3 linked regions of the Macaca mulatta genome follow. The protein of the gene in region 3 purifies or fractionates together with the protein of the main gene of each other region. This does not show direct contact. Links are inferred from orthologs where the notes say so. Each region holds a gene or a part of one and is shown on either strand. Other genes may lie near its edges.

Region 1 (3,996 bases), on a different chromosome or scaffold from region 3:
GGTGGCGGTGGGTAGGAGGTCGGGCTGAGGCCGGCCACTGTGCTAGGCGTGTGGCCGGACGGCTCCGATGGGACCGACATCAACTCCCTGTGCCGCTCCCACAACGAGCGCGTGGTGGCGGTGGCCGACGACTTCTGCAAAGTGCATCTATTCCAGTACCCGTGCGCTCGTGCCAAGGTGAGGCCGCGGGGGCCGCCGGGGTGGGACGGGTGGGCCCGAGGGCTCCGCCGCCACTGCAAGTCTTCCCTCCCGCCCAGGCGCCGAGCCGCATGTACGGGGGCCACGGCAGCCACGTGACCAGCGTCCGGTTCACGCACGACGACTCGCACCTTGTCTCGCTGGGCGGCAAGGACGCCAGCATCTTCCAGTGGCGAGTGCTGGGCGCTGGGGGCGCGGGGCCGGCGCCTGCCACGCCCTCTCGAACCCCCTCCCTGTCCCCCGCCTCCTCCCTCGACGTTTGATCGCTGCCGGCGGGACCTACTGGCCTGGCGGCGTGGCCCCGCCCCGCTCTGCCCCGCCCTAATCCCCCACGACCAGGGGCCGACTCTTTCCTCGACTGACTTCGAAACATTCCCGACGGTGCATTTCCCTGGAGGGCGCGAGCGGCGCCCCTGCACACACTGTTTAGACCCGCTGGTTGAGCCGGGCAGCCCCAACCTAGGCCTTGACTCCCGCTGCCTGCTGAGGGGCAATAAACCAGAACCAAAGTCGCCTCCCGGTGCTTTTGTGGGGCGCTGCTGGGTGCCTCCGGGGCCCTGTGGGGTGGGGACGAAGGAAAAGAGGCGTGCGGAAAGGGCAAGGGAGCGTAGACCATTTATGCAAATAACAGGCAAAGCCGCTTGCAAATAACCTGGCGAAGCGCTAAGGCGCGCGAGTCTTCGGGGCGGGAGGAGGAGTTGCAGGGCTCCAGCTAGGACAGAGTTAAGCCCCACTCCTCTCCCGCCCTCGGAAAAAGGGGTGGGGGGGGTGCCGAGCTGCAACGGAAATAGCCGAGCGATTGGCCGACAGGAGCCGAACTTCTTCCGGAAGTAGCCGATCTGCGGGGTCTCGCTCTCCGACCTGAGCCGAGCAGTGGGCCTTGTTCTCCGGATCGGCCGAAGGTGTTACGGAAGGAGGCGAACCCTGAGGCGGGCCGGGCAAGCCTTCCCTGCGGCCGGCAGAGCTCAACGACTAGTGGGACTCGGCGGGGGTGGGGGCAGCTGCAGCCTGGCAGGAGCCGAGCTCGTTCCGGAAGAAGCCGAGCGGACCGGGGCCAGCCTCAGCGTCCCGGGAGTGAGGCGATAGCTGCGGCGGCGACAGCGCGGGCCGGGATGAACCGCGACGGCTGAGGCAGCGGAGGTGACGGCTGCGCGGGCCCCAGTGAGACTCCCTCGAAGCGCCAGCCCACCGTTCAGGGCTTTGCCTCTAGCCGAGCCCTGCCCCCGCGAGCCTCCCGGACCCCTTTGTGCGGCCGGAGGCGGCGGCGGGAACGGCCATGGCGGCCAACATGTACCGGGTGGGAGGTGAGTACCGGGCGCAGGGGTACAGGGTCCGGGGCGGGAGAGGTTGTGGTCGGGACCGGAGGGGCTCGGCACCGGGTGGCGCGAGGCGCAGCGTATGGGGCGGCATGGACCGGAGCGCGGACCGGAACCGGAACCGGGAGACGAGGAGCTAGGGTGCGGGAAACCGCGACGCGGCAGGGCGCCGAGACTCCTGGAGAGAAGCTGCGGGCAGCCCCGACGGCACTTTCAGGGCTGCGTCGGGGGCTCCTCGGGGCACGGAGTGGGCTTCGGAAACCGGTTCCGAAGGAGCTGACAGGGTGGGGAGGGAACGCGAGGGGCTGGGGCGACGGCTTTGCCACCGCGGAGGAGCCGCCCGGAGGTTTCCTCTTCCCAGGCGTTATTGTGCGCCTCAGTTCGAAAAGGTGGGGGCCCTGCGCTAGAGCGAACAATTACTTCGCCGCGACTGAGGTGCAACTCGTTGCTGAGTTGTGGGGACTGCAGGGGAATCCCTGCTTCTTGCCTGTTCCTTAAGGCTCACTTTTGAGTAATGGATCTGATTTTAGAACTAGGTGCGGTGGGGGTGGGGGACATCCTTATTTTCTCTTAGTCTTTACACTTTCACATCTCAGCGCGCTCTCTGCCTGAATCCTTATCTTCTTTTGATCCACTCAGGCCAACTTTCTCTCCTACTCTGGTGCTCTGCGTCTCTCCCATCTCCTCTGATCTTCGTGGTTCTCCCCCCTCCCTTCCCTTACAGATTACGTCTATTTTGAGAACTCCTCCAGCAATCCTTACCTGGTTAGACGGATTGAGGAACTCAACAAGGTGAGTGGAGCAGAATCTCTCTCCCTCCCTCCCCCAGTGGTCTCTTCTGAGGTTTCTAACTTCGGGTGGAAGAGAGGACCCTATACTAAGTACCCATTCATATTCATTCATTCATTCATTGGATGTATTCAGGAAAGGCTATTGAGAGCTTAGCAGGAACTTTACTATTCTGTCTCTTGGGGGCAAAGGAAAGGGATTTGGAAGTCTGTCCTTGAATGTAAGTGTTTACTCATATTTTCTTGGGCTTTTTAATTTAGGTCCCTCTGAAACTTACTGTTATTTGTCTCTTTGTGTATTTCTGTTCCCAGATGATCAATTTTCACTGCTACGTTGTTTTGTTTCTGTTTTTGTTTTTTTCCTCCCCTTAGACTGCAAATGGAAATGTGGAGGCAAAGGTCGTCTGTCTTTTCCGGCGCAGGGACATTTCTAGTAGCCTCAACAGCTTGGCTGATAGTAATGCCAGTGAGTATCTTCATCCCTTTCTTTTCCCCCTCCCCATGATCTGAGGCCTGCGCATGTCCCTGCAGGTATTTCCCCTGGTAGCATGCCCAAGGCAGAGGTGTGAGTTTGAGGGTGGGAAATGCCTGGCCTGAGGAGGGAGACCTGTTTTTACACGTTGGGGTTGGAAGCAGGGTGGAGAGATTGTGATATGGTTTGTGTATGAGAGTAGGAGAGAGACGATAAGGTTGATTTAGGGGATGAAGACGGGGTTTAGAGAAACAGAATGCTTTTCTAAAGGGGGGCAGTTTGGGGTACACTGGGACAGTAGGTGGTGACTGAAGGTCAAGGTGAAGAGGAAGAGATTGTACTGAGAAGCCCGCATAACAGAAGCAGCCTTATTTTGTAATCACAAGGTGGTGAGAATACCTGGAAGTTAGAAGATGGCTGGAAGTTTTCTTGCACTTTTTAATTTCTCACCTTGCCCATTTCCCCACCTGCCACCCCCCATTTTACATCTTTCCCTTTTCATTTTGCTCTATTTTCATCCTCTTTAAGGTCTCATTTTCTTTTTTTAAAAAAAAATATTTTCCTTAGCTGCTTTTTCCTTTCCTGCTTTGGTTTTCTTTTTCCTTCCTTTTGTTCCACCTTTCTAAATCATTTTCCTTTTTCAGACTGCTCTGGGTGAGAAGGGGTTAAAGAGGAGCCTGGCTAACCAAGTTCCCTGGCCCTTTAGGGTTTCCAGCCCCATCTGGCAGGGGCTGACCTTGGCCTTGTCCAATCAGAAGGGGTGTTGGGGGTGTGGTCCCCCTTGCCTTAGCACAGGGTTTCCGGAGCACACAAGCGAGGGGTGGAGCCTACTGAACAACCCCCCCTTCTCCCTGAGGTTGGGAACAATGCACCAATGAGCCTGGGCCTGAGGCTTTTCTGCCCCCTCCCACTTTGGTTGGCGCCTAGCCAGATTAACCCCTTCCACTAGGTTTCAGGGCAAGCTGCAGCTCTTTCAGGAGGAAGATGTTGGCACTAGCTTGAGAGGTGTTGTCCTTGAAAACCCTAGGAACTATTATTAGCCAAGTAGAGAATGAGGGATAGTTAGGGCTGCATGTGATGTTTTAGTGCAAAGAGTCTCCTGAAATTGAAAAGAACTGGTAAACACAGTCTTGTGTGATTTTTTTTTTCATCTTACTGGGTTGCTGGACCTCAGGCTGGTTTAGCAAGAGACAAATGTAATGTTCTTGCTGGCCTGTTGTGG
Region 2 (3,930 bases), on a different chromosome or scaffold from region 3:
TGTGCCACCTCAGCAATGTTCCCACCTCAGCCTCTGGGGATATGCCACTACTTCTGTCACTTCTGTCCTGACGCGAAAGCTCTTTCCTGAATGCCTATTCGCTCCTTTTTTTTTTTTTCTTTTGGAGACGGAGTCTCACTCTGTCGCCCAGGCTGGAGTGCAGTGGCACAAACTCGGCTCACTGCAAGCTCCACCTCCCGGGTTCACTCCATTCTCCTGCCTCAGCCTCCCGAGTAGCCGGTACTACAGGTGCCCGCCACCATGCCTGGCTAATTTTTTCTATTTTTTAGTAGAGACGGGGTTTCACCGTGTTAGCCAGGATGATGTTGATCTCCTGACCTCGTGATCCTCCCGCCTCGGCCTCCCAAAGTGCTGGGATTACAGGCGTGAGCCACCGCACCCGACCGGATTCTTCTTAATTCTTTGTTTTTATTGTTTGACTTACCTGAGGTCTTTGGACTTTGCCTCTGAGCTGGCTTAAGGGCAATCCACCTTTTTCACTGGTCTGGAGTGGGGAGGCAGAGTAGGGGTCGGCTGGAGGAACAGGGCTCTGTGCTGTCTTTTGAGAGTTTACTAAACGTCACTCTGCATGGTAAGGGGTGTGTCCTCTCCGCTGCGGTGTCCTGGCTTGAAGTTCAGATTGTCTCCCTGGGACACCAGACCCTGCGCCGTACTCCCTCCTAAGGACAGCTTTGACTGTCTCCCCTCCAGCAGTCAGTTCTCTCCACCCCCAACAGGAGAAGGAGCAAAGGCTGGTGTCTGCAGGAGTCTCCCCTCCAGGCCAAGGCCAGGGGAGAGTGTGCATGTCACTGTCAGGATGTGTCCTGGTGGCGTGGCCGGGTTTTCAGGGTGAAGCGCCTCCGTTTCTGGGATGGCAGCGGAAGCAGGCACTACACACACAGCTTCGGGGGCTCTCCCCATGCCTCCTAGCTGCCTGGCACTTTCTGTTGTTTCTGGCTAACTTTCTGACCATGCCAGGAGTTGGTGGAAGGAGATCTCAGGCCGCAGCGTTGCTTTCCCGCTGAGGAGACAGAGGTAGGCCGGGGCTGTAGGACAGGGGAGGCAGCAGCCCCACCTTCTTTCTAGGGAGACACTGCCTGTCTGTCATTGCCCCTCTCCTGCACCTGGCCCCTGGCTGTCTGCTCTTCCCACCCAATCACCAGCAAGCCAGCTCCTGTTCCCTGCGGCCCGTAGGATGTGTCCTGGGACCCACAGCCCTCTCTCCCCAGAGACAGCACTGCCTTGCAGCTTCGGTTCCTGGCCCTGTGCTAACCCTGGCAGGGTTTTCCTTTCTAGTCTGCTCTGCAGCCAAGACATTGTGGCCACTGCTCTCCTCGGGACCCCCACCTGGCTTTCTCCCAGCACATGCTGTTTTCTGCCCACCTGGCTGGTGTCCTGTGTGCCGGATTCCCTATGCTCTGTCCCCAGCACCCTGACCACATCTGTCCCACCTGCCTAGATCTTGAACCGTGGGCACAGGGCTCCCTCCTGATAGCCCTGAACACTCCGCTCCATGTCCTACAGGGAGGGATGTCCCAGGTAGATGTCAGCTCCCTCCAGTCACTGACCTCCAGCATCTGAGCAGGCAGGGCCGAGACCCATGGTGCTGCTCAAACCAGCAGCCTGGAGCCCCAAGACAGCTCCTTTTCCTCACCTCCCCCAACACTGATGTTGCACCTGTCTCCAAGCCACTGTGGGACCATCTGTTTTTCTCCATCTGGGAAGCCCCCTTCCCACCTCATGCTCTTCCTGGCTGGGGCGTCTGGGTCACTGGACTCTCCTCTCGTTAGACCTGTGCACGCACGCACACACACACACACACACACACACACACACACACACACACACACAGGAGGGCATCCTGACAGGTGGTGGGGAGGGAGGGCAGCTGCCTCACTGTGGAAAGGGCACGGCCGCTCCCGGACTCCAGCCCTGTTAGGGCTGGGGAGGTCAGCAGGCGCTGGGTTCCAGCCTCAAGTGGGGTCTTCGGAGGTGGCCTTTGGGCACAGGCACCTCCTCTGTGGCCTTCTCACCAGGTCACAGTTCAGGGAGGCTTTGCCGCCTACAGAGCCTGCCCACACCAAGGCGCGCACGGTCACCGGTCCAGAGATGCCATGCGGGCTGGGCGGCGAAGGCCAAGGACACACGCTGCCTGGTGTCGGGGGCAAAGGTTAGGCCTGGAAGGGAGGTGTGGGGTGGGGACCCCGAGGCCAGGGCTGGGCCGCTGAGCTTCAGGGCCCTTGTTGGGGGTCAGGGGGGAATGCCGGAGGACCCCAGCATCAGGAGGAACCCCCTGGAGAGTTATGGCAGGACTCACCTGTGGGGCACAGGAAGAATCACCAGGGAAAGGACCCTTGTGGAGGATCCCCCTCTACCCCCAGGGCACTAGGGGAGGATCTACCAGGGGGGTCTGGTGGAAGGGCCCACCCGGGAAGCGGCGCGCGGGGAGGACTCGGGGGCGCCGGGAGGAACTGTCCGGGAAGGGGCGCGCGGGCCGCGGGCGGCGCGGGGTCGGTAACGGCCCGCGCGGTGGGCGGCGGCGCCCGAGGCCCCTCCCCGCCGCCCGCGGCCGCTCCTCCTCTTCCTCTCCCGCCCGCGCCGCGGCCCTCCCGTCCCTGCGCGGCCTCGGCGGCCTCGGCGGCGGCGGCGGCGGCGGCGGCGGCAGCAGCGCGGCCCCTTTAAACGCCTGCGGCGCCCCCCGCCCCCGCCATCGCGCCTCCATTTTCCCGGCCGCCCGCGCCGAGCGCCGCGCCCGCCCCGGGCCCCTCCGCCGCCGCCGGCCCGGACATGGCCGCCAACATGTACAGGGTCGGAGGTAAGGCCGCACCGCCTTTATGCCCGGCCCCGACCCGCCCGCAGCCCCCACCCACCGCCGCTGCCGCCTCCCCCGCCCCTCCGCCCCGCAGGCCCCGCGCCCCCCGTCCGCCCTCGCGGCCCCCGGCTCCTTCCCGAACCTCCCCCCGCAGTGCTCACCCCAACCCAAAATGGCCCCGCGGGTCGGCCCCATCGGGGGCGGGCGGGGCGCGGCGGCCCGGGGGTGGGGGGCGGCCCACCTGTTGGGGCCGAGGGGGCGGCCGCGGGGGTGGCGGGGGGGCGCGGGCGGCCGGGGACATCCGGGGGGCCGGGGCCGGGAGCCCCCCGCGGGAGCACGTGGCCTTGGGAGGCGCCGGCTGCCGGTCTGGGAGCAGGAGTTTTGGGGCTGTGGGGTCTCCCCCGGCCCGCGGCCCTGTGCTAGGACTCCGGTGCGTCCCCTCTGCGGATGGGGAGCCCCGGTGAGGGGCCGCGTTCCTCCCTAGAGCCCTCCTGCAGCCTGGCCCCGGGGCTTCCCCCCGCAGGGCTCTCTCAGGGGGTCTTCAGCAGGGAGCGAGTATCCCGAGCACGCCTCTAAGTCCCCCCAAACTTTTCCCTGCCTCCCGCTCACCTCAGCCCATTCGGGAGGCGCTTTGCTAGGGTTGGGGAGAGGCCGGAGGGTCCCCTGGGCAGGGGCCCGGGGCTTCCTCTCTGGGTCAAGCCTCCTGTTGCTCGGGCCCCGCGGGCCTGCAGCTTTGGGCCTTGCCCTCCTTCGAGTGCCTGGGACTCCGTGGGGTCTTTCACAGGGAGATGGGGGGTCGTGCGCATTCCATCATTCCATCAGTGCCTCCCTCCCCGGGACTCTTGAGACCCCTCCCTGCCTGTGACCCTCTCGGCAGGTGCCCATTGCCTCTCCCACCTGCAGCCTGCGCTGCAGGAGGGAGCTGGGGTCTCTCTCGCTCTGACCTGATCCCCATGCCCGTGACCCCGAGTGCCCAGAACACGCCGTGTCCCTCGAGCGTGGCCTCTGCTGCCTTGGACGCCGTGTGGTCTCGCCGGCCAGCCCTGTGACCTTGGGGACTGTGGGAGCCCCCTACACCCCGTCTGTGAGATGGGCGGTCAGTCTGCATCAGCAGCTCT
Region 3 (3,820 bases):
GCATAGGAGCCGGGTCTTGTTTGCCTCATTGGCCCCCAGAGGTGTTGACTTGTATCTCAGATGTGAGCCGGCGCTCAGTAAAGGAGGCCGGTGCTCGTGGAGATGGAAGACGCAGCAGAAGTGGCCTCAGCGTTAGGTGAGACTGTACTCCTCCAGCGCGGTGTGCGTGGCACGTCGAATTGGTTCGGCTTTCCTGGCTTTCGTAGGTTTTACCCAGAACTTGCTGGCGTCAAGACCCTGCAGGCGAACCTGAGTGAAATCGCGGTTTTTGTTTGTTTTTTCTTCATGCATTGGCTAGTTGTAGGTAAAGCTCCACCATCCACGACGGCGGGCAGCCAGTCTCCCCCGGAAACGCCGGTGCTCACCCGCTCTTCCGCCCAAACTCCCGCGGCTGGCGCCACAGCTACCACCAGCACGTCCTCCACGGTCACCGTCACGGCCCCGGCCCCCGCCACCACAGGAAGCCCGGTGAAAAAGCAGAGGCCGCTTTTACCGAAGGAGACTGCCCCGGCCGTGCAGCGGGTCGTGTGGAACTCATCAAGTAAGTTTCAAACGTCCTCCCAAAAGTGGCACATGCAGAAGATGCAGCGTCAGCAGCAGCAGCAGCAGCAGCAAAACCAGCAGCAGCAGCCTCAGTCTTCCCAGGGGACGAGATATCAGACCAGACAGGCTGTGAAAGGTACCGAGCCTCCCCTTCTGTTCTCCGTGGCGCCCGCTCCCATTTTGCCACATCGACAGGAGAAAGTCATTGCTCTCTTGTTTTTTTTTTTTTTTTTTTTTTAGTTCTCGTTTGTTTCCTGGCCATTGTATCTTGAAGGCCTTGCACATTTCATTTGGCATTATTTTTAAAAAGTGTTTTGCTACTTGCTTTTTTACTTTCGAAAAGTTTTTTTGTTCATTTTATAAATTATACATGCATATATTCTCCTTAAAAGGGGGGCAGAAAGTTTTACATAAAAGTTTATTGTCCCGTTTACCTTCCATTTCATTCTCTCCCTTCCACAGTGACCAGTATCAACCGTTGTAAAGGCTTTTCTATGCATGTATGCATGTATATGTATATATACATATCTGTATGTATATATGTGCGCGTCATGTATATGATGCCATAAAATTAGTCCTTTTCCCCCCCTTTTTTTTCTTTTTTAAAACGTAAAAATGGTACCATACTTGCTTTTTTTTTTTCCCCCACCCATTAGCATGTTTTGGAGGTCCATCCATGTCAGCACATACAGCCCTGCCTTGTTCTTTCGGACTGCTGCGTAGTATTCCATAGTTTATTTAAAGCATTCCCCTCCTGATGGGTATTTAGGTTGCTTTCAGTTTTTTTTCCACTGTGAGCAGTGCTGCAGTGAATATCTTTGTATAAATTTCCTTGTACACATGAGGGAACCTCTTGGAATTATTTTGGAAAAAGTACAGTGCGAGAAGTTGATAGCGAAGGTTACCTTAGTAACTGGAAATTCGTCACGCACAAAAGATGAGCCAGCCTCGAGAACCACTTGCTGAAGTTGCAGAATCAGAACTCCCACCAGCCCTACAGGAGGCTCCATCTGGAGCTGAAATTAGGCCAAACACAGTGCTGATCTGACTGGTTGATACCAGTTTGTCTGGCTTTTGTGAGCATTGATGTAGATCTCTTTCTATCAGGAAACCTGCATCTAGATCCTCAAAGGCTGGGTTCTTCAACGGAAGCTCATAGTGAGTGCGCCCCTGTGAGTGGGGTTCGTGAGCAGCAGGACGTGAGGTTGAAAGGTGGCCAGGTCTTGAATTGGCCCCCAGTGAAACACTTCAAAGATGGCAAGGGAGTGGGTCCTGAAAAATTGGCCAGGCAAAATTGAGAGTACAGTTGGAGTAATCTTGCTGTTTAAAAAGTTGGTGGGGCAAAGCCAAGTCTAGGATATTTGAGATTGGGATTGCTGCTTCCTGTCTTCTGTCTTCATATCTCGTAAGCAGGAGGCTTCCCCAGGGGAGTTTAATTGCTACCAAGAAGAGGGTTGGGCGCGGTGGCTCATGTCTCTAATCCCAGCACTTTGGGAGGCCAAGACAGGCAGATCACTTGAGGCCAGGAGTTCAAGACCAGCCCGGCCAACATGGTGAAACCCCATCTCTACTAAAATGGAAAAGAAAACATAAAACTAGCTGGGCACATGCCTGTAACTCCAGCTACTCAGGAGGCTGAGGTGTGAGAATCCCTTGAATCTTGGAGGTGGAGGTCGCGGTGAGCTAAGATTGCGCCATTGCATTCCAGTCTGGGCAACAGAGTGAGACTGTCTCAAAAAAAAAAAAAAAAAAAACCAGAGAAACAAACAGACAAAAAAAACCAAAAAAGAGTGCTGCCAAAAAGAGGCTCATTGCTTCAGATAGTCTTACACCAAAGTAGGGCCTAGTTAAAAGGGTAAAGACAGATTTAAATCGGTAATACACTACTGTAATGGGGCAAGAGTCTAACATAAACTGAAATTAACTTTGATTTGTACAGAGGTGACTGGGCATTTTAAAGGGAGAATGAGGGAGTAGGGATGGGAGCAAGTCGTTGAAGTTAAACATCACAGAAGCAAGATGAGGGGTTGGTCTTTGTGAAACCCATCTCGATTTGCTAACGGGCACTTCATGAAGTTGGGCCCCTACTCTCCCATAGAGACTGGGATGCTGAAGTCCTGTCTTCAGGTGTTGGTTGGAAGAAAACTGTCAGTTCTTTTGCCAGCATTGAGTTTTCCCAGGCAGGTGCTTTAAGTGGGGGTTGGGGTCATCCTAGCATGCACTCTTGAGCTCTTAGAAACTGTCAGTGTTTGCTCAAGTCTTTCCAGGCCAAGGTTAGGGCCTAGTCGAGAAACCTGGATAGAGTTTGGTCAAGGGGAGCATCTTTGTCATTTAAAAGTAGAAAAGTTCTCAGGACGTATATTAGGGGCTTTGCTTCTACACCACAGCTCTATGCTGGGACGGGTCCTTCCCACGTGGGATAATCAGGATGCTTTGCCTTCCTAGCTGTCCAGCAGAAGGAGATCACACAGAGCCCGTCCACGGCCACCATCACCCTGGTGACCAGCACACAGTCATCGCCCCTGGTCACCAGCTCGGGGTCCACGAGCACCCTTGTGTCCTCAGTGAACGCTGACCTGCCCATCGCCACCGCCTCAGCCGATGTCGCCGCTGATATTGCCAAGTACACTAGCAAAGTGAGTGGATGGGAGAGCTGCCGCAGAGACGGCAGGCATCTGGCAGGTTGCCAGAACCTTGGCCTTGCAAGGGGAAGCATGAGCGTCTTAACCTCGTAGGCTTTAGGGAGTGTTTAGGAAGGAAGACCCTTTTTATTTTTTAAACAGAATCTCCAAGACCACATTCTTTCATTTGGGTCTAACAGAGAAACATTGGAATGGACTGAATCTTAATCCAAGTGGGCTTAGATTCTAAAGTCAGTTTATGAAGTGCAAATGACATATAATCAGAATTACCTTCGAGAATTCAAGTCACTTATAAAGGCACTGGAACACATGACTGATCCTTCAGTGAACAACTGACCAGGGGTTGGGTTTGCATTTAGAGCTTTGCATGTGGAGCAGAAGTGACAGAGTCTTAAACATGACACTGGCAAGGTGAAAGCCCACACTTTAATTTTTCCAGGAATCAAGATGGATGAGGAGGGGGACCGAGGGGACCCCCTCTCCCTCTTCTCCTGCCCTCTGGGGCACAGTCCCTATTAAGTGGCCTGGTGGGCAGGATTGCCTGTTGTGGGCAAACTCATGGTCACTGTCTCAGCACAGGCCCCTTCTTTTTTTCTCTTAATTTGCCAAGTGCTTTTTTTTTTTTTTTTTTTTTT

The links. The genes of interacting proteins can lie anywhere in the genome.
Region 1: the proteins of ZMYND8 (region 3) and MTA2 purify together in Homo sapiens (affinity purification with mass spectrometry; 3 studies listed by BioGRID and IntAct, with this or other methods). This does not show direct contact. The link is inferred for Macaca mulatta from reciprocal best matches to the Homo sapiens genes ZMYND8 and MTA2.
Region 2: the proteins of ZMYND8 (region 3) and MTA1 purify together in Homo sapiens (affinity purification with mass spectrometry; 3 studies listed by BioGRID and IntAct, with this or other methods). This does not show direct contact. The link is inferred for Macaca mulatta from reciprocal best matches to the Homo sapiens genes ZMYND8 and MTA1.

Annotation. Positions count from the first base shown.
Region 1 is NC_133419.1:11,464,495-11,468,490, forward strand, and holds the start of MTA2 (metastasis-associated protein MTA2), read left to right. Parts: upstream 1-1,196; 5' UTR 1,197-1,474; coding exon 1,475-1,502; intron 1,503-1,620; exon of another isoform or gene 1,621-1,903; intron 1,904-2,238; coding exon 2,239-2,306; intron 2,307-2,674; coding exon 2,675-2,768; intron 2,769-3,996. Other genes in the region: EML3 (echinoderm microtubule-associated protein-like 3), read left to right, coding at 47-177, 258-461. UniProt on the Homo sapiens protein: May function as a transcriptional coregulator. Acts as a component of the histone deacetylase NuRD complex which participates in the remodeling of chromatin.
Region 2 is NC_133412.1:178,846,826-178,850,755, forward strand, and holds the start of MTA1 (metastasis-associated protein MTA1), read left to right. Parts: upstream 1-1,130; 5' UTR 1,131-1,668; coding exon 1,669-2,170; intron 2,171-2,317; exon of another isoform or gene 2,318-2,559; intron 2,560-2,584; exon of another isoform or gene 2,585-2,787; coding exon of another isoform or gene 2,788-2,815; intron 2,816-3,930. UniProt on the Homo sapiens protein: Transcriptional coregulator which can act as both a transcriptional corepressor and coactivator. Acts as a component of the histone deacetylase NuRD complex which participates in the remodeling of chromatin.
Region 3 is NC_133415.1:100,040,499-100,044,318, reverse strand, and holds part of ZMYND8 (MYND-type zinc finger-containing chromatin reader ZMYND8), read left to right. Parts: intron 1-298; coding exon 299-679; intron 680-2,988; coding exon 2,989-3,179; intron 3,180-3,820. UniProt on the Homo sapiens protein: Chromatin reader that recognizes dual histone modifications such as histone H3.1 dimethylated at 'Lys-36' and histone H4 acetylated at 'Lys-16' (H3.1K36me2-H4K16ac) and histone H3 methylated at 'Lys-4' and histone H4 acetylated at 'Lys-14' (H3K4me1-H3K14ac).